Linked DNA regions of Pelodiscus sinensis. The protein of the gene in region 3 interacts with the protein of the main gene of each other region in a biochemical or structural test. Links are inferred from orthologs where the notes say so. Each region holds a gene or a part of one and is shown on either strand. Other genes may lie near its edges. The genes, in order: KPNA4, KPNA3 and KPNB1.

Region 1 (7,892 bases), on a different chromosome or scaffold from region 3:
TGGGATTGGTCCTGCCTAGGGCAGGGGGCTGGACTTGATGACTTTCTAAGGTCTCTTCCACCTCCATGATTCTATGATTCTATATACCTGTGCCTCTGCAGGTTTGGATGCTTGTAGTGTTCCCTGGCAATGGGAACTGTGGGAAGCAGTGCAGTCTGGGACACCACTTCCCATAGCTCCCATTGGCTGGGAACGGTGATTCACGGCCAGTGGGAGCTGAAATTGCCTCTACCTGTGGAGGTACAGGTAAATACAGCGGCTAAACCTGGCAAACTGGATCAGGCCTGCAGGCTGACATTTGCCCACTGCTGTGCTAGAATGAATCTATCTTTCAGTCCTGACTGCAGGATGAAGTAAATGAAAGTGACCACTAATAGGTGGGATCAACCCGACCAGAAGCTGTAAAGTTTTGGCCACATTAATAATGTTTCATGGCAGGAAGTCAAGGGCATGTAGCTCTGACCTTGCTGCAACTTCTTGACAAAGCTTTCTCCCTTCCCATCCCAGTTCATCTCATTTCTACCCTTCAGCACCAGCTCGCTGTAGGTCACTACTGTCTGGTACTGCAGTCAAGGTCATCCTATCCATAGGATGATTTGAGGCAGCCGCTCCTGGCCCTGTGCTTTGGGAGACCCTGTGACAGCTGCCCTGACTGTTTTATGGACATATTGAAGGGAGCCTGTGGTGCCATCAGCCTGGGGGATTACCAGAAGAGTATTGCATGCTCCAGCAGGTCACAGAGGACCTCGACGACGCTGATGGCATATACATCCGTTTTCGTCTCGACGGGAGCGTGTTCAACCTGAGGCGTTTGCAGGCCCACACAAAGACCATGGAGAAACTGATCAGGGAGCTGCTGTTTGCTGATGATGCCGCCCTCCTTGCTCACACAGAGGCAGCTATGCAGCGAATTACGTCTTGTTTCGCAAAAACTGCTCAGATCTTCGGTCTTGAAGTCAGCCTGAAGAAGACTGAAGTTCTTCATCAGCCCGCACCCCACGAGGAGCACCATCCACCAAGCATCTTCATTGAACAAACAGAACTGAAAGTTGTCCACCAGTTCAACTACTTGGGGTGCGTGATCTTGTCTGACGCCAAGATGGACAAAGAAGTCGATAACAGGCTGGCCAAGGCAAACAGTGCATTCGGCAGACTATACAAACGTGTCTGGAACAACAGTAACCTCAAAAGAGACATGAAGGTCAGCGTCTACAAAGCTGTTGTGCTGACCACTCTCTTGTATGGCGCTGAGTCCTGGGTCACGTACCGTAGTCACCTGAGTCTCCTCGAGCGTTTCCATCAGCGCTGCCTCCGCACAATCCTCAATATTCATTGGAGTGACTTCGTCGCCAACACTGAAGTCCTCGAGTTAGCGGAGGTCACCAGCATCGAGGCCATGGTCCTCAAGATACAGCTTCGCTGGGCAGGGCACATCACCAGGATGGAGAACCATCGCCTACCCAAGATCGTGCTGTATGGGGAACTGTCCTCTGGCTACCGCGACATAGGGGCACCACGAAAGCGGTACAAAGACTCCCTGAAGAAGTCCCTCACTGCTTGCTGTATCGATCACCATCAGTGGGCAACACAAGCAGCTGATTGCAACTCCTGGCGGCACACAGTCCACCTCCTTCTTCGAAGATACCCGCAGGGCCTGTATGGAGGACAAAAGGAGAAGGAAGAAGAACCGTGACCCCTCAGCACCTATCTCGGATCAGACCTATATTTGCAACCGTTGTGGCAGGACCTGCCTGTCCCGCATAGGCCTCGTCAGCCACCAGCGTGCCTGCAGAAGATGTGGATTTCCTAGATCTTCGTTCGCGAAGTCAAGCCACGATTGCATGGTGCAACAGCAGCCACCAGGCCTCCCACACTTACCATGGCGGCAGAAGCCTGGGAAGCAGAGTGAAGCAGACGGGAGCTTGTACTACTGTCATCTCCCAGCTGGGTTGTTCTTCTTAACTGCAGTGGTAGAAAACAAAGTGCTCCAGCCCCAGCTTGCTCTATTCCCCTAAGTGATGCAGAGTTCTGGGAAGCAAAGTAGATCGGGATGCTCCACTTCTCAGGCTCCTGCTGCCATGGTGAGTATGAGGGAGTGTCACGTTATTGGATTTTAGGGTGAGGAGGCAGATCATTGTTGCACCCACTAGTGTGTTTGCTCCAAATTCTGTACGAAGTGGGCCGTGTAAGGTGTCAAATGAAAGCTTATGTTATGCTGACCAGTATGTTATTCATATGCTGGTATGATTATTGTATGTATGTTATGGATACAGGCTCTGTATTTGTATTTAAATGTTCTCCATCTGAGAGGCAGCAATGGACTTCCATGACATATTGTGAGGAGTGGTTATCCAATGAATGGCTGTGCTAATTAGCAATGCTGCATAGACAGAGGCTCTCAAGGTTGCCAATACACGTGAGGAATGCATTTGGAAACTTGCAAATGAGCAAGTCTATCATGGCTACTTGCATGAAAGACAAAGAAAGGTCACTTGATCATGTGACAAATGCCAGTTTGGGAGGCACTAGGAATACAAAAGTACCATGAGGGCATCTCCATCTTGTCTTCAATCTTGCTCCTGATTCCAGAAGCATCCTTGCTAGGGACAGAGAACCAGGAAGGATTTGTTGACCCATCCTGACACAGGATGTACACCAGAGTCTTTTAAGTTAGCAGTTTGTAACATCTCTGCTAAGAGCCTGCATCAAGAACTTGGTGATTGATGTATGTAATGTATTCTCTTTAACAATCTCACTCTCAACCCTTTTCTTTCATTAATAAACCTTTACGGTGCGTTTAGACTGGCAAAAACTTCCCAGCTATCTATACTGGCAGCTTGAATTTGCGCAACAGCACTGACGTTCCAATGTAAGAATTCAGTGCTTCTTGCACAAATTTTTTGACGCCCCCACTCAGGGATAAGCCCTCTTGTACAAGAATACTTGCGCAAGAGGGCCAGTGTAGACAGGCACCTTAATTTTTTGCGCAAGAAAGCTCAATGGCTAAAATGGCCATCGGAGCTTTCTTGCGCAAAAGCGAGTCTATATTGGGCACGGATGCTTTTGCGCAAAAGCACTTTTTGCACTAAAGCATCCGTGCCAATCTAGATGCTCTTTTGCGGAAATACTTTTAACAGAAAAACTTTTCCGTTAAAAGTATTTCCGCAGAATCATGCCAGTCTAGACACAGCCTTAGATTTTAGATTCTAAAGGATTGGCATTGTGTGCTCTTTTGGGTAAGATCTGAGATATAAATTGACCTGGGACTGTGACTGGTCCTTTGAGACTGGGAGAACCTGTTTGGAGTTGGTGAGATTGGGTTTTATAACCTCTCACCTATGTATGTGGATCTGACTGTTGCAGAGGGAACGCTGGGGTGTCTAAGAGGTTTTGCCTTGTGAGGTTTCTTGCTGGCCAAACAGGGCACTGAAGTGCTCTTTGTGACTGGTCTGGTGCCTTTATAGGGAAGGACCTCACTCTTGGGCTGTAAATTGCTCTGGTTCTAAAAGAATCGCTCTAATCCAATACTCTCTCAGCAGTGACTAGACTGAATCGTTATATTACAGAGGAGGGAGCGACCCGTTGCCACTCCGTGCTACACTCCCTCATAATCCCTTGGGTCACATAGCTCTGGGAAGGGGACTTCGGGAAAGAGGTATAAACAGGACTGGAGGAGGCAAAGCAGGGGTGGAACTTGCGGTGAATCCTGGTGAAGCACAAGGAAATCCAGCCCTGAGGATGCCATCCTACCTTGGCCCCGCCCCAGCTCCCTCCTCTCTACTGTGTAGTTGCGTATTGCCTGGCTGGTATACACACTCACCCAGTGATGATAATAAAACGTAATTAGAAAATACCAGACATTTATATGTCCAGTATTTTCTCAATTTGTTTCCCAGACAGAAAGGTCAAAACTGGACATCTGGCAACCCTAGTTGTTTTTTTTTAAGTTTTTTTTCCCCACTTACAGACTAACATAGCTACCTCTGAGACTTCTTAGCCCTAGTCACCCAACTGGGCTCAAGGTATCTACTGACTCCAAGGAACTCCTATTCCAGTCTCACATGAATCCCACCGTGACTGAAGGAGGTGGACTGGGGGGTGCACAGTTGATGGGGAGGTAGATGCAGACACAAGAAGCGATTCAGCGTTAGGAAAAAGAAGCAGCAGTGAAAGCTGAGCGCCCCTACCCTGGTGCTGGTTTCTGCACGAGTGCAGGGCGAGAAACGCAGAGAAACCTCTTGTTAACAGCTACAGAGAATACTAAGCCAGCAGCTGCTAGCCCCTGCAGCCTCCTTCCCCCAGCAGCGGTCTCGTGCCCCGAGAAGCCTCCACAGCCCCCAGCGTCTGCGCAGCAGCCGAGGGGGAGGGAGGAAGGCGGTGACGCACGTTGTTGTCGACTTTCAGTTGTGTCAACAACGGCAGCAGCCGCTGCCGGAAAGGGCGGGCAGGGCGCCCCTCGGCTCTAACAGCGTGGGGCGCAAAATGGCTGCCCGGCGCAGGGGTCAGGGGGGCACCCCGCTGGCTGCCGTGAAGGAAACTCCATCTCCCTGCCTGCCCTCGGCGCCTCGTCCTACCCTGTCCCCTGCTCGCCACCGCCCCGCTCTCCTCCCACAGCGCGGCCCTCCCTCCACGCTCGTCTCTCCCATTCGCCGCCGGCCCGCCCCTCCCCAGCCAATCGGAGGGCGCGGCAGAGAGGGGTGGGCGTAGCCTCGGCCAGCTCCTGCTAGATCGAGGCTACCTCCTCCTTTCCCCCGCCCTCGGCTCTGTCCCTTTGCTGGTTACCGGCACATTCCGGCGCCCAGGCAGCCGGAGCTCGCGAGCGGCCGGAAGGAAGGAAGGCAGGAAGTGCGGAGGCGGCAGTGGCGGCCTAGTGGCGCAGGCCGCAGCGCGGACGGGAAGAGAGTGCGAGTGAGCGAGGCGGCGGCGGCGCCGGGCAGGGGATCCCGGCAGGCCCGGGAGGAGGCCGCGCTCCTTCTCTCCCGCCATGGCCGACAACGAGAAACTGGATAATCAACGGCTGAAGAACTTCAAGAACAAAGGCCGCGACCTGGAGGTAGCTCCCACAGCACCCCGCGGGAAGGGCCGGGCATGGCGGCGGGACTGGGCCGCCGAGCTCTGGCGTCTCTCCTAATCCCCCTTCCGGCACAACCGCCTTCCTGCTGCTGCATCAGCCGAGGGCCTGCTCCGAGGCTGAGGCCTGCTCCGCCGCTGTGGAGGGGAGGGAGTGTCTTCCCCTTTCTCCTCACGAGGGCAGGGGCGCTACTTGGGTGGGGTGGGCGGACGGACGAGCTGAGTGAGCCCTGCGTTTCCCCTGCCGGGAAGAGGCTGCCTTTCCTTCCCACCCTCGGACAGCTTTGGGGCTGAGGGCGGCTGCCCGCCCGGAGTGGGGAGTGTCTGCACTGACAGCGGAGTTAACGCCTTTCGGCATTTCCCTTCTGTGGCTATCTCCCTTGGTTTTGCTGTACACCAGGGAGAGGAGCGGGGAGGACGCTGACGGGTGTGTGGCTATGAGGCACGGGGGTCTTTGTCGTCATTTTCTCTGTAAGAAACTGGTGGCTATTGACATGAACGGAGTTCTGCTGACTGTTAGCCCTTCCTAGTACGGGTTATGTTTTTTTCTTCAGAGTATCTGCAGGCCAGTACATAGTTGAAATGCAAAATATAAACTGATGGAATTAACATAAGTGCAGCTACAGCACTATAGAAACAGTCAAGTGCAGTCTAATATATTTTTGTACAACCTCACTTTGGTTTGGCACTGTTGCAATAGGGGGTCAAGTACCATCAGTCATCCACTTCCCAGATAGTAATGAAAACCGTTTTGGTTTATAGCTTGGCTAACACATTCAGGTTATGGCTTTTCCCAGTTATGGCAGTGAAGGCCAAAGAAGACCCTTATTGGAAAATGTCCTGCAGTTGGTCCTCCTTTGATGCAGCAGTTCCCACAGCTTAACAATTTCATATGGGACAGAGACAGTTAGTCAAGTAAGCAAGTCCTATGCAATTCATGTTTTTTTCATAAAGCAGTCTCTAAAGTCAGCACCTTGAACTCCACACAAACTTCTGGGAGCCAGGTAAGATCCCAGAACACTGGCATAATGTATTAGCTGCATAAAAAACCACTTAAGTGGGTCTTTGTGTTCTGCTCTAACTTCAGTTTCTGAATGGGTTTAAGATGTGGTAGAGCATAGTGTAATCTAATGTTGAGATGACACAAAGGCATGAAGAACTTGGCTTTTGAAAGTAAAGGATGGAGTTGCTCTCTTTCACTGATTGGCATGGGGAAGGAATCTTTTCTACCTGTGCATGAAGGAATAATCCAGGATCCAACATCTAGGTTTTGAACTCGGTTGAGTATATCGGTATAACTTTACCTGAAATGTTTGGGATTGACAGATAATGAAAGAGAGAGTAAAGCATGCAGGAAATAAAAGATTAGTTTAATATTAAAGGACTTAGTTAAATGGGGTTCTGCTGTCTTTGTGTAAAAGTACCTTCCCCGTTGAGCTGTTTGCTGGCTGCTCTCCAAATACTAAAAACAAAAGCACAGGGTGTATTATAATTCCAGAAGTGGTGCTGTGAAGGTTTTTATTTAAAACAAACCTCATACTTCATTCTCTTCTGTATATTATTTTATATGGAAAAGTATAATGCAAAGTTCTCTTAAATCACTGCTGTGTTGGATGCCTAAACTTTGCATTTTAATGTAGGTTCTCTAAACTCATACTATACATTAGGGATGTGAATGACTAGTCAACTGTCCGATAAGCAAGTGGGAGAGAGGAAGAAAAGGGGATGGTTCAAAGTGGCAGTGCTGCATAGGGCCCAGGCCAGACCTTGGGCTCTACGCGGAGCTGCTGCTTTGAAACGCCGTGCAGCCCAGGGCTAGCTGGGGACTCCCCTGCTGACCCCAGGCTCCATGCGGCGCTGCCACTTTGAAATACTGCAGGGAGCTTGGGGTCAATGGGGGACTGCTTGAGTCCCCTGCTGGCCCCATGTTCCCCGCAGTGCTTTCACTTTTAAAGTGTAGCAACAATCCTGGTGCTGTTACTACACTTCAGAAGTGGAGATGCCCTTATTGATTACTGGAATAGTCAATGCAAATTGCACCGACTACTGGATTAGCCCATTAATCTAAATTTAACATCCCTGCTATACATATGTTAATCCTGAATCCTTCCCACAAAAATAAGACTTTTATAATTTGGATGATAGCCTGTTTAGTTTTAGTTATTGATGAAATTTTAAAGACACACACTGATTTGAAGATCACCCTCTTAAGAGAGGACTTTTTTCCTATATTTGTTTCAAGTAACCTGTAAGATAACTATTATTGAAACCATTTGAAAATATTTCTCCTGCCTTCTTTGTTTTTAGGCATTTTATAGGCATTATTTTTCTTGTTTGAGAGAAACATTTTAAAATAAAACCAAAAAATTTGGCTGAGGTCTTACTGACATATGTAATACTGTAGAGTTTATTACCTTTAAACATTATTGTATTTCTGGTAGGCTATGTGCCATCCATGTGTTTTTTGGTTTGCTGTTAAGGTAGCATTTTGCAAAATGAAAACATTGTTAAGCTGTTAAGTCTTGTTAAATTTTAGAGACTGACATCTCTCTAACAGATCTTGGAACATATGCTCAGTACTTAAAATAACTACTGTGGATGATCATTTTTCAAATAGTAGCTCAGGCTTGTGTGACTATCATTCTGATTCATTGTTTATACATCACATTTTTTCATTACAGCATGAAATATTGGTAATGGCTGTATTTAGTCAAGCTTTAGCAACAGTTGATTTTTTTTATCTTGCATTTTTGCAGAAAAAAACCTCTTCCCTTCACATAAATCAGTATTTGATTATTCTAGTAGTCTCTACTAAAATCAGT
Region 2 (7,788 bases), on a different chromosome or scaffold from region 3:
GGAGCTTTTTACTGCCCAGGACATTGCCAAGTGTTACTTTGTTACATAGGGGGCATGAGCCTGGTGGTATTGCCAGATGCTTTCTGCATTGGAGGTCCAGATTTCTTTTTGCCTTTTCATCTGTTTCCCTGATACCTATACTAACTTCTAAAATCAAGAAACAAACTCACCGTTATTCTCATGGCTCCCTCCTGGCCAAAGCACTTTTGGCTGACAGACCTGCTACAGATGTCCATTCAGCCGTGCTCCCAGACTGTCTGGACCTGATCTAATAGTACCATAGTCATATACTCTTGGCACCTGATAGCCTGGATGTTAGTGTCTAGAAGATCCTGATACAGGGCAGGAAGACCATCACCAGATAACTTATTAATCAAAATGGAAGAGCAGCTGATTTGGGCATGTCAAAAGCATCCTAAATACTATGTGCAAGTTTCAAAACCATAGTTCCTTGACTATTTGTTGCATTTGTAATGTTCCGATCTGTTCAGGTCTATTGATTCATCTCACTGTTGTGAACATGGTTTGCTATTTGCCTGTACAGTTGTCTGCTGACTGTTATCCAGTGATATCAGATTTCCTTAAGGCAGTGTTTCTTAAACTTTTTAATACCGAGGAACCCCAAACAATTTTTTTTGAGGAACACCAAGGCTTTTTTTGTTGCGCCAAAAAAAAGTCTGGGGGAGTTATTGAGCAAAAAAAAAAAGGTTGCCTGCCCCTTTAAGAGTGGCCATTCTGAATTCTGTTGTTCTCTGTGGCACACCTTTGACTGCCTCAAGAAACACTGCCTTAAGGCCCTGTTAAATGCTTCCTCACCAGAGAACCTGCTGCTGCCTCTGGGACATCAGCATATCAATAAAATGATTAACATCACTAGTCCTGTCTTTCTAGGCTAGAAAATAGATCTCTCTGCTTTTATTAAATTTAGATAAAGGCAGTCCCCGGGTTACGTACAAGATAGGGACTGTAGGTTTGTTCTTAAGTTGAATCTGTATGCAAGTCAGAACTGGCGTCCAGATTCAGCGGCTGCTGAAACTGACCGCAAGTTCTGACTTACATACAGAATCAACTTAAGAACCCCAGGCGTCCCCAAGTCAGCTGCTGCTGAAACTGATCAGCAGCTGATTCCAGGAAGCCCGGGGCAGAGCAACTCTGCCTCGGGCTTCCTGTAGTCAGCGCTGGTCAGTTTCAGCAGAAGCTGACTTGGGTACGCCTGGAGCAGAGCACCCCATCTGCTCTGCCCCAGGCGTCCTGATTCAGCCGCTGCTGAAACTGACCAGCAGCGGCTGAATCAGGACCTGGGGCAGAGCAGCTGGGGTGCTGCCGGGTTGGTCCAGTAGTGCCCAGAGCGGCGCTGCAGGACCAATCGGCAGCGCCCCAGCTGCTCTGCCCCAGGGTCCAAAACAAAAGCCTGGTCTACTGGGGGGGGGCACACTAGCTGCGCTCCTCCCCCCCCCCCCAGCAGACCAGGGACACGGGGAGCAGAGCCGCAGCGGCAGCGGGGTGCCGCACCTCTGAGGCTTTGCTCTGGCAAAGCCTCAGAGGTGCGGGACCCGTCGCAGCTGCCGCTTCAGTCCCGGTGCCTGTGGTCTGCTGGGGACGGTCCCCAGCAGACCACAGGCACCGGGACTGAAGCGACAGCAGCGGCAGTTCCCCGCACTTCTGAGGCTTTGCTCTGGCAAAGCCTCAGAAGCGCGGGAACCCGCCCGGTGCCCCTGGTCTGCTGGAGACGGTCTCCAGCAGACCAGGGGCACCGGAGCAGCTTACGAACGGGGCTTTCTCGCCCCGGAGCTCGCAGGTAGCAATCCGCCACCTCGACCTCCGGGGCGAGAAAGCCCCGTTCGTAAGTGCGGAGCCGACATAAGTCGGATCCGCGTAAGTCGGGGACTGCCTATATTTCATTTTCATTACATTATTTAGCTTTGTCTAGTCTGATCTTTCTAGCTATGGGGGTTGGCAACAGTTGGAGAAAACCAGGTCCAATTTTCTAAATATATAGTTTTCTTTAAATATTTGAACAATGCAATCCACCTTCCCAAATTAATAAAACCAATTATTGTAAACCCTGGCTGTAGACTTTTACCCCAGTTCTGAATTGGGTCCTGGAACATGGCGAGGGCTAGAACTATGGCTTTAAACCACATTTGTGTCTTCCATTAAGGCCCAGAATTTGGATACCAGCCCAGAGTAGCCAAAACGCACTGCAGCACTGTTCCCTTCTCTCCCATGGGGCACAGCTACACTGGGGGCTATGTGGGAATGTGACATAAGGTTCTGGGTAAGCCCTGAACATCATAAGAGTCCATGGTGAGGAAACTAGCCACTGAAGTGGCACGAAGGAGACAAATCCAAGTCTAATAAGCTGCAGCTTGAATTTTTGTACAACAAAGTCAATTTCTACTGAAGGATGAAATTTGCAACGAAGTAGACTCTGTTACCGGGTTTCCCCTTTCAGTAAACAGTACATACAAATGTGTTAATATTCTTTTCCAAATTCTCCGTGTTTAGTTTATATATTTTCTTGAAGCAAAGAAATTAACATCTAAAGAAATTCCTTTACATTTTCCTGCATATACGTCATGAAATACAATCTTCTTAAGTGCCGTGGAAATAATCTCAGTGCTGGTTTTGATAACTGAGGACTACATTTCATCCCATCATGTGTGGTTTGCTTAAGGCCCACTGGTTCAGCAAAGTGTTGTGGCTAAATTGGGGCTTTAAACTCGAGGCACATGATGGGGATGAAAAGTAGGCATATGTTGCATTTAGTGCTATTTTCTTGACCATAGTGCTATATGAAAACCTAGTCACTGGTAACAGTTCATTAAAGATTAGACAGTTGGTGCTTCTTATAATTTATCATCCTCTGTGCATCTTCTGACAAGGACAGTTATGGCAGAAATTGGCCAGAAAATGTGGCATATTGAGAGTAGTCTATTTCTCTGCCTTGAGGTTAAACCTATTGCAGCTTCACTGCTTGTTTCTTGTAGTATGAATGCACTTGTGGACCTTGCTTGGTTGCTGAGGTGGTGGTATGGTTCAGTGTTCAAAAATAGGAATCCTTGTCTGTTCTGCATTTTAATAAAATACAAATAAAATTCCAAAAAGGTATTCCTTCATCCATCTTGTCTCTCAATATTCTGGGACCAATATGGCTACCATAGTGCATTCTACATTTGTCGTAATAGCCTTGTCTACACTGCTGTTGTCTGTTCTCTTAGGGTACGTCTAGACTACTGCGCTATTTCTGCGTCTTTTAAACCAGCCCATTATTTTGAAATGAAATAATGGACCTGCTATTATGACATCTTTGTAGCCCTCATTCCACGAGCATTAAGGGACAGTTAAGGAACATTTTGGAATAGCAGTTTATTATTTCGAAATAAGCTATTTCAAAATTAGATCGAAATAAGATATGCAATTTATGTAGTTCACATTGCATATCTTATTTTGTAAGATTTTGTACAGGTGCAGTGTTGATGCACACTTATAGGCTTCCGAAGTTGTTCCTATAGGTCAGTGGTCCCCAACACGGTGCCCGCGGGCGCCATGGTGCCTGCGGGGGCATTTGTGTGCCCCCGCCAAGTGCTCGGGGCTGGCCTGGCCCCAGGCACATCGCGCATGCATGGTGCTGGAGCCGGTCCTGGGCGCACGGTGAGCGCCGGCCCTGGGAGCGCCGCAGATTGGCCGCCCGCGCTCTGGGCGTGCGGCGCTTGGAGGGGGCACCGGCCCTGGGCGCGCGGCACTTGCGGGGGAGCTCCGGCCCCGGGCGCATGGCACTTTGGGGTGGTGGGTGTTGGGCGTGCGGCGCTTGGCGGGGGTGTCAGCCCCGGGCATGCGGTGCTTGGGGGGGGGGTGTCAGCCCTGGGCGCGCAGTTCTGGGGACCCCGCCCCCGGGCACGCGGCCCTTGGAGGGGACCCCGGGCACGCGGTGCATGGGGGGGGCCTCCGCCCCCGGGCACGCAAGTGTCTCCACCCTCTGGCGCCCGGCGGGTGAACGGCCATGCCCCCTGGCACCTGGCAACCTCCCAATGGTTGGGGACCACTGCTGTAGGTGAAGCTGAATCAGTGTTGACAATAGTAGGGACTTCTGCAAACTTTCTCTACTATAGATAGGACCAGTAAAGGCTTTCCCCATGAGTTTTAATGTGTTACATTTATATTTTTATGGTCAAAAATAGAGGGGGCTAAAATTAAGTTAATGTGTTTATAATATAACAGGATGTCACCTAAACTCTAGTCTAGTAACAGGAAATATGAGAGCGCTACAATTCACATAAAAATTTAAGCTTTGAGAGGCCTTGCTACTGATCATTGTCAGTGGAATTGTAATCTCTGAAACGGAAAACAATTAGGGTATGTCTACACAGCAGGGCTAACCTTGAACTAAGCTATGCAATTTGAGCTACGCTAATTGCATACCTTAAGTCAAAAAAGCTAATTTTGAATTTGGGAATGTCTACACAGCACTTACTTCAAAATAGAGCACTCTTCCTCGACTTCCTATACTCGTACTATGAGGGTTGCAGGAGTCGGAGTAAGAAGTCCTCCAACTCAACATTATTTCTACATTAAGTCAAAATAACTGCTTGTGTGTAGACATGGATGATGTTATTTTGGAATAATGTCCGGTATTCTGAAATAATGCTGCTGTGTAGACATAGATCAGTTTAGGCCAGTAAGGCTATCCTTGCTTGGTGCTTTTGATGTTTGCTAAAGTTAATATCTGTCCTCTGACCTGGTTTCCTCAGTGTGTTTATTTTTCTTTTACTGGAACTTAGGGCAGTTGCAGGTTTTATGTAGGAGTTAGCTTATGGCTTCAAACCAAAAGATCAAAAATTGCAAACCAGATTCCCCCAAATCATGGTTTATTTTCAAAAGATTACATTGTGGGTCCTCTTTAAAAATTCCCCTTGTTTCAGTGTGAATGTTGCATCCTTCCCAAATTTCTAAAATAAGGTCATTCTGGTTTCCTGAAGGAATTTTTTTGTTTGCTGATGGTGCAGCGCTTCCAGCTGCTTCCCAAACTCAAAATTAATTCTATGATTTGCCCCATTGCTGGGTCTGTCTTGTCCTTCCTGCTAGGGGTTCTTCATCTCCTTCTCCCACACAGGCTACAGCCCTAATTGGATTGCTTTATCCCGGGAATGGGGAAAAACAGCCATTCAGAAGGATTTTTTCCCCATGGATAGGCTGCTTGTGTCTTCATGAGATTGGCTCCAGTAGGAGCCAAATACACATTATTAATTGTGAATAGTAAGAGTTGGCAAAAAGGCTCATGTGCAGGTCTCTGCTACTGAGGATGCAAAAGGGAGCTGGCCCAGTGATCTCAAGGTAGCACATCAGAGTTCAACAGTAAGCTGAAACAAACTCAAAATGCTGTGGTTACAACCAGCCATTCTAGTGCCTGTCTGAATCTGTAACAAAGGACTATGACACAGATTCTAGAATTGCCCAACTCCATAGAGCAGGGGCCATCTGCAGCCCGAGTAGTTCCACAATCCAGCCTGCACACGGCTGCTAGCATGAGTTGCTGTGGCTCTGGGGGCTGCCCATACCCTTCCCCCAACTACAGCTCCTGCCCCTGCTCTGCCCTCTCCCCCCAGTACAACCCTTCTCTCAAGCCCCCTCTTCTGAGTGACATAGCTTTAGGGATTACTGGGGGCCCTAGTATGGGGCGACATCAGCAATCTGTGTATCTCAGTTTCCCTGCAGCTTCCACTGCCACAGTGAGTATGGAAGGGTGACTTCAGCTGCAGCCTGCCCAGGGCACTCCAGGCTTAGTATGGGGAACCATCCCATCCATTGGATGGTTAGAGCAGCCACTCCAGGGCCCCCCAAAGCACAAGGGCAGCTGCACCAAACCGTCCTACAGATGGGATGGCTCAGCAAATACCTCTCTGGGCCACAGGGACGGGCCACTCTAGCCTCGCTGCACTGCCTGTGAAAGCACCAGGGTGTGTGTGTGTGTGAGAAATCTCATGGGGGGGATGCTGGTGGGGCTGGGAGACATGAGTGTGGGAAACACATGGAGCCCCTCTTTCCCTGAAGCTCTGCTAGAGAGGGGTGCCCGCTGGCCCACTAGCAAGATTTGAGGACTGACACTTGGCCCTAAGGTAAATTGAGTTTTAGACCACTGCCCAAGATCTTATTTTTATGCAAGCTTTTCTGGGTAGGGAGAAAGGGCACCTGAGAAGGCTACAACATTCCCTTACCTAAATGATCTTCTCTTGCCACTGAGCATGGCTACATCTAGACTCCAGTGCTTTTCTGGGATACCAGATATCCAAGGAGCGCGTCCACTTTTTCGGAAAAAAATTTAAAAAAGCAGACACGCTTTTTTGCCATCCCTGTAAACCTTGTTTTATGAGGAAGAAGGGAGGTATCGAAAGAACATTTTTCCCCCAAAGTTTGGAGCCATGTAGACATGCAAAATTTCGAGAGAGCCTCTTTTGACAGTAAAGCAGAAAAAGATACGCAAATTGTTTCTTTTTCCGACTAACCAATGCAGTGTAGATCTAGCTCATGGGAAACTGAGCCTTCCCAAATCAGGTCTTTCATGTTGCTCATGATTCACACAAGCCACATTTACACACCTCAAGAATTGCCAAGACTGACACCCAGTTGGAGTAGGATTAGAATCTGCTTAGAATTATATAAGCAAATACTTTGTCAAAGGCTAACTCAGCCAAAGAGTAGCGCCATAAGCAGCTGTTGCTTGAGTAGTGCTGAAACGTTTGATGCCAACATTCACGTGGACTTACTCCTTTAGTTTGTACTTAAAATGGCTTTTGTGCATAATACCCATTTTTATTATTTTTCACAAGTAAACCTCACAAAAAAATTAAAACACTCAGGGCCTGTCTGCACTGCAAGAGCCGTCATGCCTTTGATTGCTTCTCATTATAGGCCCAGTTACTGTGGCAAACCATTTTGCTAGCTGGATGGTTCTTACAATGAAGCTAGACCGGGGTAACAAGACAGCCTCTGTGGGCTGGATCTGGCCTGCCAAGCCAGTTGATCTGGTCTGTGGTCGCCCTACCACTCCCCCACCCTCAGGCCAATAGAGACCTGGGGATCGGGGAGCGCACAAAGTCCCCTCCCCCTGCTTAGGGGCATGAATCACCAGAGGGAATCGCCAGCTGTTCAGAATGGCTGGTAGTTCTCTCTAGGTGCTGCGCTCCCCTTGCAGCGTGGGGGCATGGGGCAAAGACTTCATGTTCTCTTCCCCCCATTCCCTGATTGGCCTGGGGGTGGGGGAGCATGTGAAGTCTCTTCTTGCCTCCAGGGGCATGCAGCACCTAGAATGAACCACTAACTGTTCAAAACAGCTGCCAGTTCTCTCTAGGCACCTAGGGGAGGAATGGGGGGCAAAGACTTCACATGCTTCTTCTCCCCCCCCCCCCCCCCACCCTCTCCAGGCCAATCAAGGTCTGTGGGTGAGTGAGCACGGGATGGCCCAGGGCCACTTCAGAAATTGGTGAAATGGCCCCTCTTTAAAAATTATTACCCACCCCTGAACTGGATGTACTCTGACTGCTAAATTTGGGTGTTTTAACCCTGAATTATAGTCTTGGATAGAAATTAAACCATGCTAGTCTGTTTGTGAAAACTGTCCTGGCTTGTGTTTGGCATGTATACAAGTTATTCTTTCTAAAGCACAACAAACCTGGTTCTTGAAGTAGAATATGGATCTTCTAGCAGTAGTGTCATATAACTGCAGAGAAAAATAAACTTATGCCTTTTACTTAACCTCTGTGATGCATAAAGATGGTGTGGTTTGTTTTT
Region 3 (7,155 bases):
CCTCTCCCCTTAGTATGGCTGCAGCTTTACTGGTACAAAGGTGCTTTACACACAGACAGCCATTCCTAATTTGTGCCAGTGATCAAAGGCCCCTTTCTGCTAGGATTGATTGTACGGGTACAACTGTTTCCACCCAATCTCCCTAGCACTGACAAAGCTGTTTGATACAAGTACAAAACCTGGGAGGAGACCAAGCTGCATTGTTGTTTACCACTTCTAGTGCAGTACCACCACAGAGCCCCAGTCCTGGACCAGACGGACCCAGTGTGTTAGGTGCTGTACACACACAGACCCAAAAAGCCCTGCTGCACTCATGGTCTAAGTCATCTTAATTTCTGCCTTGTCTTCATTGCAATTTTTCAGATAACTCACCCAGAAATCCTGCCAAGGCTTTTTGTAAGATGGGCTTTTCCATGAGGTTTTTCTGATTCTTTAGGGTTGTGACAGGAACTGGAGGCCCACAGCCCTGAGCTTCCCAGGAACCACAGAGAAAGAAGCAGTAACTGCTTCCAGCTCTGTGATTTCAGCTCCAGTTGGAGCTGGCCTTCTTCCCAGATTCATCTTTCCAAGCTCTTCTCTGTCACTGCCTGGACTTTCCCTCAGATTAACTGGGTGAACCCTGAGGCCCTGTTGCCTCCCTCAGTGTAGAAAGGACATGGGACGTCACACTGCTCCGGAGGGATGCTGCTGCTCGGGTGGATGTGGGCATGAGAGATTTACAAATGTATATTAAAGCTAGTGTTTGAAATCAAAATTCCTACTACACAGGCTTAGAGGAAAGGCTCTTGGGGTCAAGCCTGGATCCTCAAGAATTACAAGTCTCACTTAGAAAGTTACAAGATGCATTGACCCAGATTTAAGAGGGTAAGTTTTTAAGTAGTAGAGCATAAGTGTTTGGGTACCTCACCCAAGGGAAGTTTTACAGAGTTAGTTGTGAAAAGCAGCGGGATGGGGATTGTTCCTCAGTCTGTCGGTGATGTTGAGAAGACCAGGACTTTACAGGGTTAAAAAAAGAACCAGATAAATTCATGGAGGTTAGGTCCGCCAATGGCTATTAGCTAGGATGGTTAGGAATGGTATCGCTAGCCTCTGTCAGAGGCTGAAAATGGATGACAGGGGAGGGATCACTAGAGGACTCCCTGTTCTATTCACTCCCTCTGGGGCACCTGGCATCGGCCACTGTCAGAAGACAGAGCACTGCGCTAGATGGATCTTTGGTCTGACCCAGGGTGGCTGTTCTTCTGTGGGATGGGCTTTCTGTAAGAAGATACAGCTTGCCGAGGAAGAATTTTTTTGGGGCTATTTCCTTAACTGCGTCCCTCGTCGCTGGTACTGCTCACCCATCTTGCTACACCATGTCCTGTGCTATGGTCTGCATACATATCGCCCCGTCTATGTGATCTCAGGTCATGTCCTCATTCTGTTAGTCACCCTCTTCTCCCAAATATGGGGACTAGGAGAATGTGGGGGGTTTAATACATGTTTATAGAACACACTGAAAACGCAAAGCTCTGTAAAACTTAACTCTACCCAGTTTTACTGGAAAGAGGGATGTTGCACAGGCCCAGATGCCATTATTCCTTGCACTTTCAAAAAGCAACATGGGAGCTTGCATTTCCACAAGAGCATCACTATCAGCCCCAAGGAACAAGGGTTTAACATCAAGCAGGGCCAGCCTCAGGGAGAATGGGGTCCTGGGCAAACTTGTTTTGGGGGCCCCTGACCCTTGTGGGCATAATTCCCCCATTTCCCCTGGTACCCATGGGCTCCCCTGACCTCCCCCCATCTTGTGCTCTCTTTACCACTAACCCTACATTGTGCCCCCTTCATTCCAACTCCTGCACTTTCCGCCCACCTGTGCCCCTAACTCTGACCCTACACTTCCAGCATGTCCTGCCACCCTGCTCAGCACCCTTCACTCTCTTTGCCCAACAAAACCCCATGCTCCGTTGCCCCTCAGCCTCTGGCTATGGCACCCTGGGCATGGGCCCAATTTACCCAGTCCTCAGGTTAGCCCATCCTAGATGGACAACTCCTATAATCCCCCCACTAGCCCAGTGTTCTTCACCTATATGAAGCCATTATATATAGCCACAGACAATGGGGGAAAAGAGTGACTGCATTCACACCATTCTCTTGCCTCTTCCATTGTATATACGCAATGTTTATAATGCCCTCTGAAGGGGGGAGGGCTGGAAAGGACCCCCCTCCCCCCAAAAAAAGCTTTCATCTCAGCACTTCCCTGCACTGTGGTTTTTGTCCCCAGGGAATATTTTATTACAAATATAACTACAAACCCTTTTAATCCATTTCCCATAGTCTCTGCAGTATTTTCAACCTCAGCAGGTTCTTGCCCTCTCCTCAAAACTACCCCTTCCCTACAAGCCTCCAGGTCCCACATCCCCCTGTAAGTGATAATTATCAATTCTAATAAAATAAATATCACCTTGTTCTGCTCATCAGTCAATCCCAAGGCAATTCTAGAGTCAGTCAGTAGCATTACCCCCATTTTACATACAGAAAAACGGAGACCTGGCCAATAGAACAGAGCCAGGAAGAGGTAGCTCCTACTGGCTTGAGTCCCAGCTAGGCTGTGGGGGCTCTAACAATCCATTTCATTCAGCAACTAGTCTCCAAGAGCAGACTGCACCAACCAGATGTTTCGGAGGAACATGAGAAATGAAGGCTCTGATGGACAAGCTGTGGAACCTACCCATGACAGTGTCTCCTTCGTACCAAGCAGTGATGAAATAAACCAGCCTTCCCAGACCTAGCTTCTATAACCCAGCCACTTGAGCTGCAGCTCCTATTGAAAAGCAGATAATCCACAGCTGTTAGCCTGATCATTACATCTGGGCTAGAAATTCTCTTGCATTAGAGCAAAAACCAACTACTAGCTGCCTGACCTTATGATGGCACTGCTGCAGTGGGCAGAGGATTCCAGAATTGTCCATTATGAGTTTCTTACATCTTCCTCTGCGTGCTGTTGCTTCAGTCATTCCCCTCCAGTATAGCACCAGTGCCTAGGGCCCACTCTCTTCAAGTCCTTCCCTATAGCCCCAGGCCCTACATAACTTCTATTATGGCTCCAGTCTGACAGAGCCCCAGAAGCTCCTTGCCCCTATGGCCAAACCCCCAGAAGTCCTCTAGAACCCAGCAGCTCCTGATGGCCCCCTGCTAATCCCCCAGGAGCCCCTCTGGCCTACTAGGCCCCACCCCCTCAGGCCCCCCCAGCAGCTTCTGCCCCTCAGGGCAGGGTCCACCCTCTTCTGCCCCCTCCTCCCCAGCGACTCCTGGCCGCATCCCCCCTCCAGCCCTGCTGGGTCCCACCTCCCTCCTCCTCCCCTAGCAGCTCCTGGTCCCTCTGGGCCCCCCCCCCAACGGCCCCTTCTTGCCCCCCCACAATGGCTGCTGAGGACCCAGTGGGCCAGCGGCCCTTGGGGGTGGGGCCAAGGAAGGTAAGGCCCAGTGGGGCCCCCAGCAGCCCCGGACCCTCCTCAGCCCCCCTCCCCCAACGGCCCCTGGCCCCACTGGGCCCCTCCTCAGCCCCCCTCCCCCAACGGCCCCTGGCCCCACTGGGCCCCTCCTCAGCCCCCCCCCCCAACGGCCCCTGGCCCTACTGGTCCCTCCTCAGCCCCCCTCCCCCAACGGCCCCTGGCCCTACTGGGCCCCTCCCCCTCAGGACCTTCTGCTTGCGGCCCCTCCATCCGCTTCCCTGGGCCGCCCTCGCCCAGCCCGGCCAATGGGCGGCCCGCTCCGCCGGCTCAGCCAATGGCCGCGCGCGCGCCCCGGCCCCCAATGAGCGCCGAGCGTGAGGGCCGCCGCCAGCCAATGAGAGCGTGCGGCGCCCGCGGCGCGAGCCCGGCTCTGGCCCTCTCCCTCCGCCCGCGCGGCTGGCTCGGGCCCGCCCCTTCCTTTTTCTCTTTTCCCTCCTTCCCCCCCTCCCTTCCCGCTCCGCCTCGTCGGTGTGTGTGTGTGTGCGCGCGCACACGCGCGCGCGCTCTCCCGTCCCCCCCCCCTTTTGCCGCGCGGCCCTTTCTCCCTCCGCCGCCGGCGCCCGCCACAGCCCGGAGCCGCCGCCCGCCCCGGGGGCCCCCCCGCGCCGCAGGAGCCGCCCCGCGCCGCCGCCATGGAGCTCATCACCATCCTGGAGAAGACGGTCTCGCCGGGTGAGGGCCGGCACGTGGGGGGGGAGGCTGAGGGGAGGCCGGGCCGGGGGGGGAGGGGCGGAGCGGGGGGGGGGGGCCCCACGGCGGGGACTGACTCCGGCTCCCGCTTCCCCGCAGACCGCTCGGAGCTGGAGGCGGCGCAGAAGTTCCTGGAGCAGGCGGCGATCGAGAACCTGGTGAGCGGCCCGCGGGCCGGGCGGGCGGCAGCGGGGTCCCCCCCCCCTCGATATCCCATCCACCCCTCCCCCCTCGCGGGCAGGGAGCGCCCCGCCCTGCCCCGCGCAGGCCGAACCGCCATCGAGGGCGCAGCCCAACTTGCCAGCGCCCAGCCGGGGCGGCGGCCGGCCAATGGCGGCGCGCCCGCGAGCCGCGCGGGCCAATGGGAGCGCGGAGCCGGGGGTAGGGGGAGGGTAGGCTGCGCCGCGCTGCGTGTGCTGCGCTGGGGCCTGCGGGCCATGTGGGGAGCGCGGGCCGGGGGGGGGGCTGGGACACCCCCTAGCGCCCTCCAGCGCCATAGGGCCCCGCTCCCCCCCTTGCGGAGCCTGCTCCTTCACCCCCCCCCTTGCATCACGTGCCTCCCATGCTGGGCCTTCCCTGCCTGCCCCCCTAGGCCTTCCCCCTTCCCCTTCCCCACTGGGCCAGGCCCATCTGGTTCCCTCGGGCCGGGCCTTCGATTCTTGCATCCTGTTCCCCTTTCATTGCTGGGCCCTTGGTTCTTGCACCCTGTTCAGATCCCGCTCCCCTTTCCCCCTGAAGCAACCCTCTGCTCTCTTCTGAAGGGGGCGCTTCTCCCCTCCTTCCCACCCCCGTCTCTGACCCAGAGGTAAGAAGCCAGAAGGTGAAGGGGTCACCCGGGTTGGGACCCCTGTCTACTGTCCTGGGTGGAGTTAGAACAGATTTAGAATAGGTTTCAGGCAGGGGTGGGGAACCTCATGTCTTGGGGCCAGATTCAGTCCCAAGCTTTCCTGGATCTGGCCACTGAGGCTTAGGGCTCCCTCTCCCCCTAGTATCGGGGAGTCTGCAATGGTGCTCCAGCCCCTGTGGGGCTGGAACACACACACTCTACTAGCCTGGGCTTTCCAAGGCTCTGCTATGTGTGGAGAATGTTGAGAGTGACTTTCTTCTCATTGGGGGGGGCACATCAATGAGGGGTGTGGATTTTCGTTAGGTTTTTTTTTCTTCTCACTTGTGTGCGGCCCTTGACCAAAAAAAGGTTCCCCACCCCTGGGAGAAAGGAAAGGGTGGGGGCTACTTTGTTCCAGGGGAAAAGGGTACTCAATCTACAAATGGCACACTCCCATTAGCATGTTGTGTGTAGCATGTCTTAGCATCCTACACACCTATTAAACTCAAGGGAGGATTGTGCAGAAAAGTTAAAAATACTTTCTACCGTTAGCATATGTTTGCCTAATTAAGGTACAACGTTACAACTATTACACTAAAAAAAGGTGTAAGGGCCTGATTCCTAGCCTTGTTACTCTACTCATCCTTGAGGCAATCTCTGGTTCTTTTGGGTGATTAAATATGGGAGAATTATTGCATTCCTGTTTGCTACTGTAAAGATTGTCACTGACTTGACTGAGTATACATCTACACTGCAACACTATTTCGAAATAAACTAGTGCTATTCCAAAATGACTTGGTCCGCATCTACACAGCAGGCAGTTATTTTGAAATAATATCAAAATACTGTCAAGCTAGAGGACTTTTTACTCTGAATCCTGTAACCCTCATTGTACTAGGAGTAAGGGAAGTCAGAGGAAGGGTGCTCTGTTTTGAAATAAGTACTGTGTAGATGCTCCTAATTTCAAAATAAGATATGCAATTGATGTAAGTCAGTTTGCGTCGCTTATTTCGAGTTAAGCCTGGCAGTGTAGATGCACCCTGATGAATGGGAGGTAAAAGTTGAATATTTTTCAGCCACCCTTCTACATTTCCTCTTCACCAGCATTAATGCAAGCTGTGCAGCTTTTTGATACATAATTTAATGTTAAAGGTTTGTGAAACCTTCTGGCAATCAGAGTCGTTAACAATTGGGCTTATAGTTTCATGTTCATTCCAGTTCTGTGGCTAGCTGTTTAATGAATCATAGCCCACCACTGAAACATTGGGATATGTTGAGGAATCCTTTGGTTTAGCTGATTAAACTGTCTGAGGCTGGTTGGTTTTGCTGAATCTTGTTGCAATGCTTCTGTGTGTGTGGAAGCCATGAGAACATGTACACTAAGTTTGGGTTTGGGTCTGCAGTTTAGAAGAATTAAATTCTAAATTAGAATTGTGAGTTCAGGCCTAGAATGAATAAAGCTGCTGTTGCTAGTTTAAACAAACAAAAATACCCTGATCATTTAAGGGAGGCAGGCAGGTGAGAGAATAAAGAACTGATGGCTTTTGGCTATTCGCATTTATAGTGTATTTTCCTAGCGTAATCTTCATCAGATATATAGCATTTTGGGAGTTGAGCCCACTGTTTCCCTTCAAGGGATGTGTCCTTGCAACACTATCACTTTCTATTCCAAAACCATCTTTCCTGAAAGCTTTCCCCACCTTTAATTTAATCCAGCCTTATAAAATTTTGTCTTGAGCGTGAATGCATTTTTGATCAATAAATAAAATCAGCTTTTTCATTATCCTAAAAGGTAGAGAAGTAGATTTTTGTGCCTAGGGCCTTGCATTTGTCAGGATATTTTTGCAAGGCTGATTTAGCTTTGAATGGGGGGTTTAAACTGTATATTTGTTTACTAACTCTGCACTTTGGGTGTTAAAACAGGTAATTTGATAGCTTTATTAACTTTTTTGGTGAGATTTTGGACCATAGAGAACACAAGTTCTTTTGCCTGCACTGTCTGCTTAAAATTATTGCTAGCAACTTTAAGTAGTCTTTCTTAGGCTCTGGTTTCTAATAGAAAATTTTTTATTGACTGAGTGCAGTTGCATCAACTTAAAAAATTGGTTAAATCCTATTCTAAATCAGGCAAAATAATTTCAG

The links.
Region 1: the proteins of KPNB1 (region 3) and KPNA4 form a complex in vitro, tested with the Homo sapiens proteins (2 studies listed by BioGRID and IntAct, with this or other methods). The link is inferred for Pelodiscus sinensis from reciprocal best matches to the Homo sapiens genes KPNB1 and KPNA4.
Region 2: the proteins of KPNB1 (region 3) and KPNA3 form a complex in vitro, tested with the Homo sapiens proteins (2 studies listed by BioGRID and IntAct, with this or other methods). The link is inferred for Pelodiscus sinensis from reciprocal best matches to the Homo sapiens genes KPNB1 and KPNA3.

The regions. Positions count from the first base shown.
Region 1 is NC_134720.1:33,022,915-33,030,806, reverse strand, and holds the start of KPNA4 (importin subunit alpha-3), read left to right. Parts: upstream 1-4,797; 5' UTR 4,798-4,984; coding exon 4,985-5,053; intron 5,054-7,892. UniProt on the Homo sapiens protein: Functions in nuclear protein import as an adapter protein for nuclear receptor KPNB1. Binds specifically and directly to substrates containing either a simple or bipartite NLS motif.
Region 2 is NC_134711.1:290,015,114-290,022,901, reverse strand, and holds the start of KPNA3 (importin subunit alpha-4), read left to right. Parts: upstream 1-4,695; 5' UTR 4,696-5,432; coding exon 5,433-5,729; intron 5,730-7,788. UniProt on the Homo sapiens protein: Functions in nuclear protein import as an adapter protein for nuclear receptor KPNB1. Binds specifically and directly to substrates containing either a simple or bipartite NLS motif.
Region 3 is NC_134739.1:13,273,604-13,280,758, forward strand, and holds the start of KPNB1 (importin subunit beta-1), read left to right. Parts: upstream 1-3,967; 5' UTR 3,968-4,129; coding exon 4,130-4,169; intron 4,170-4,286; coding exon 4,287-4,345; intron 4,346-7,155.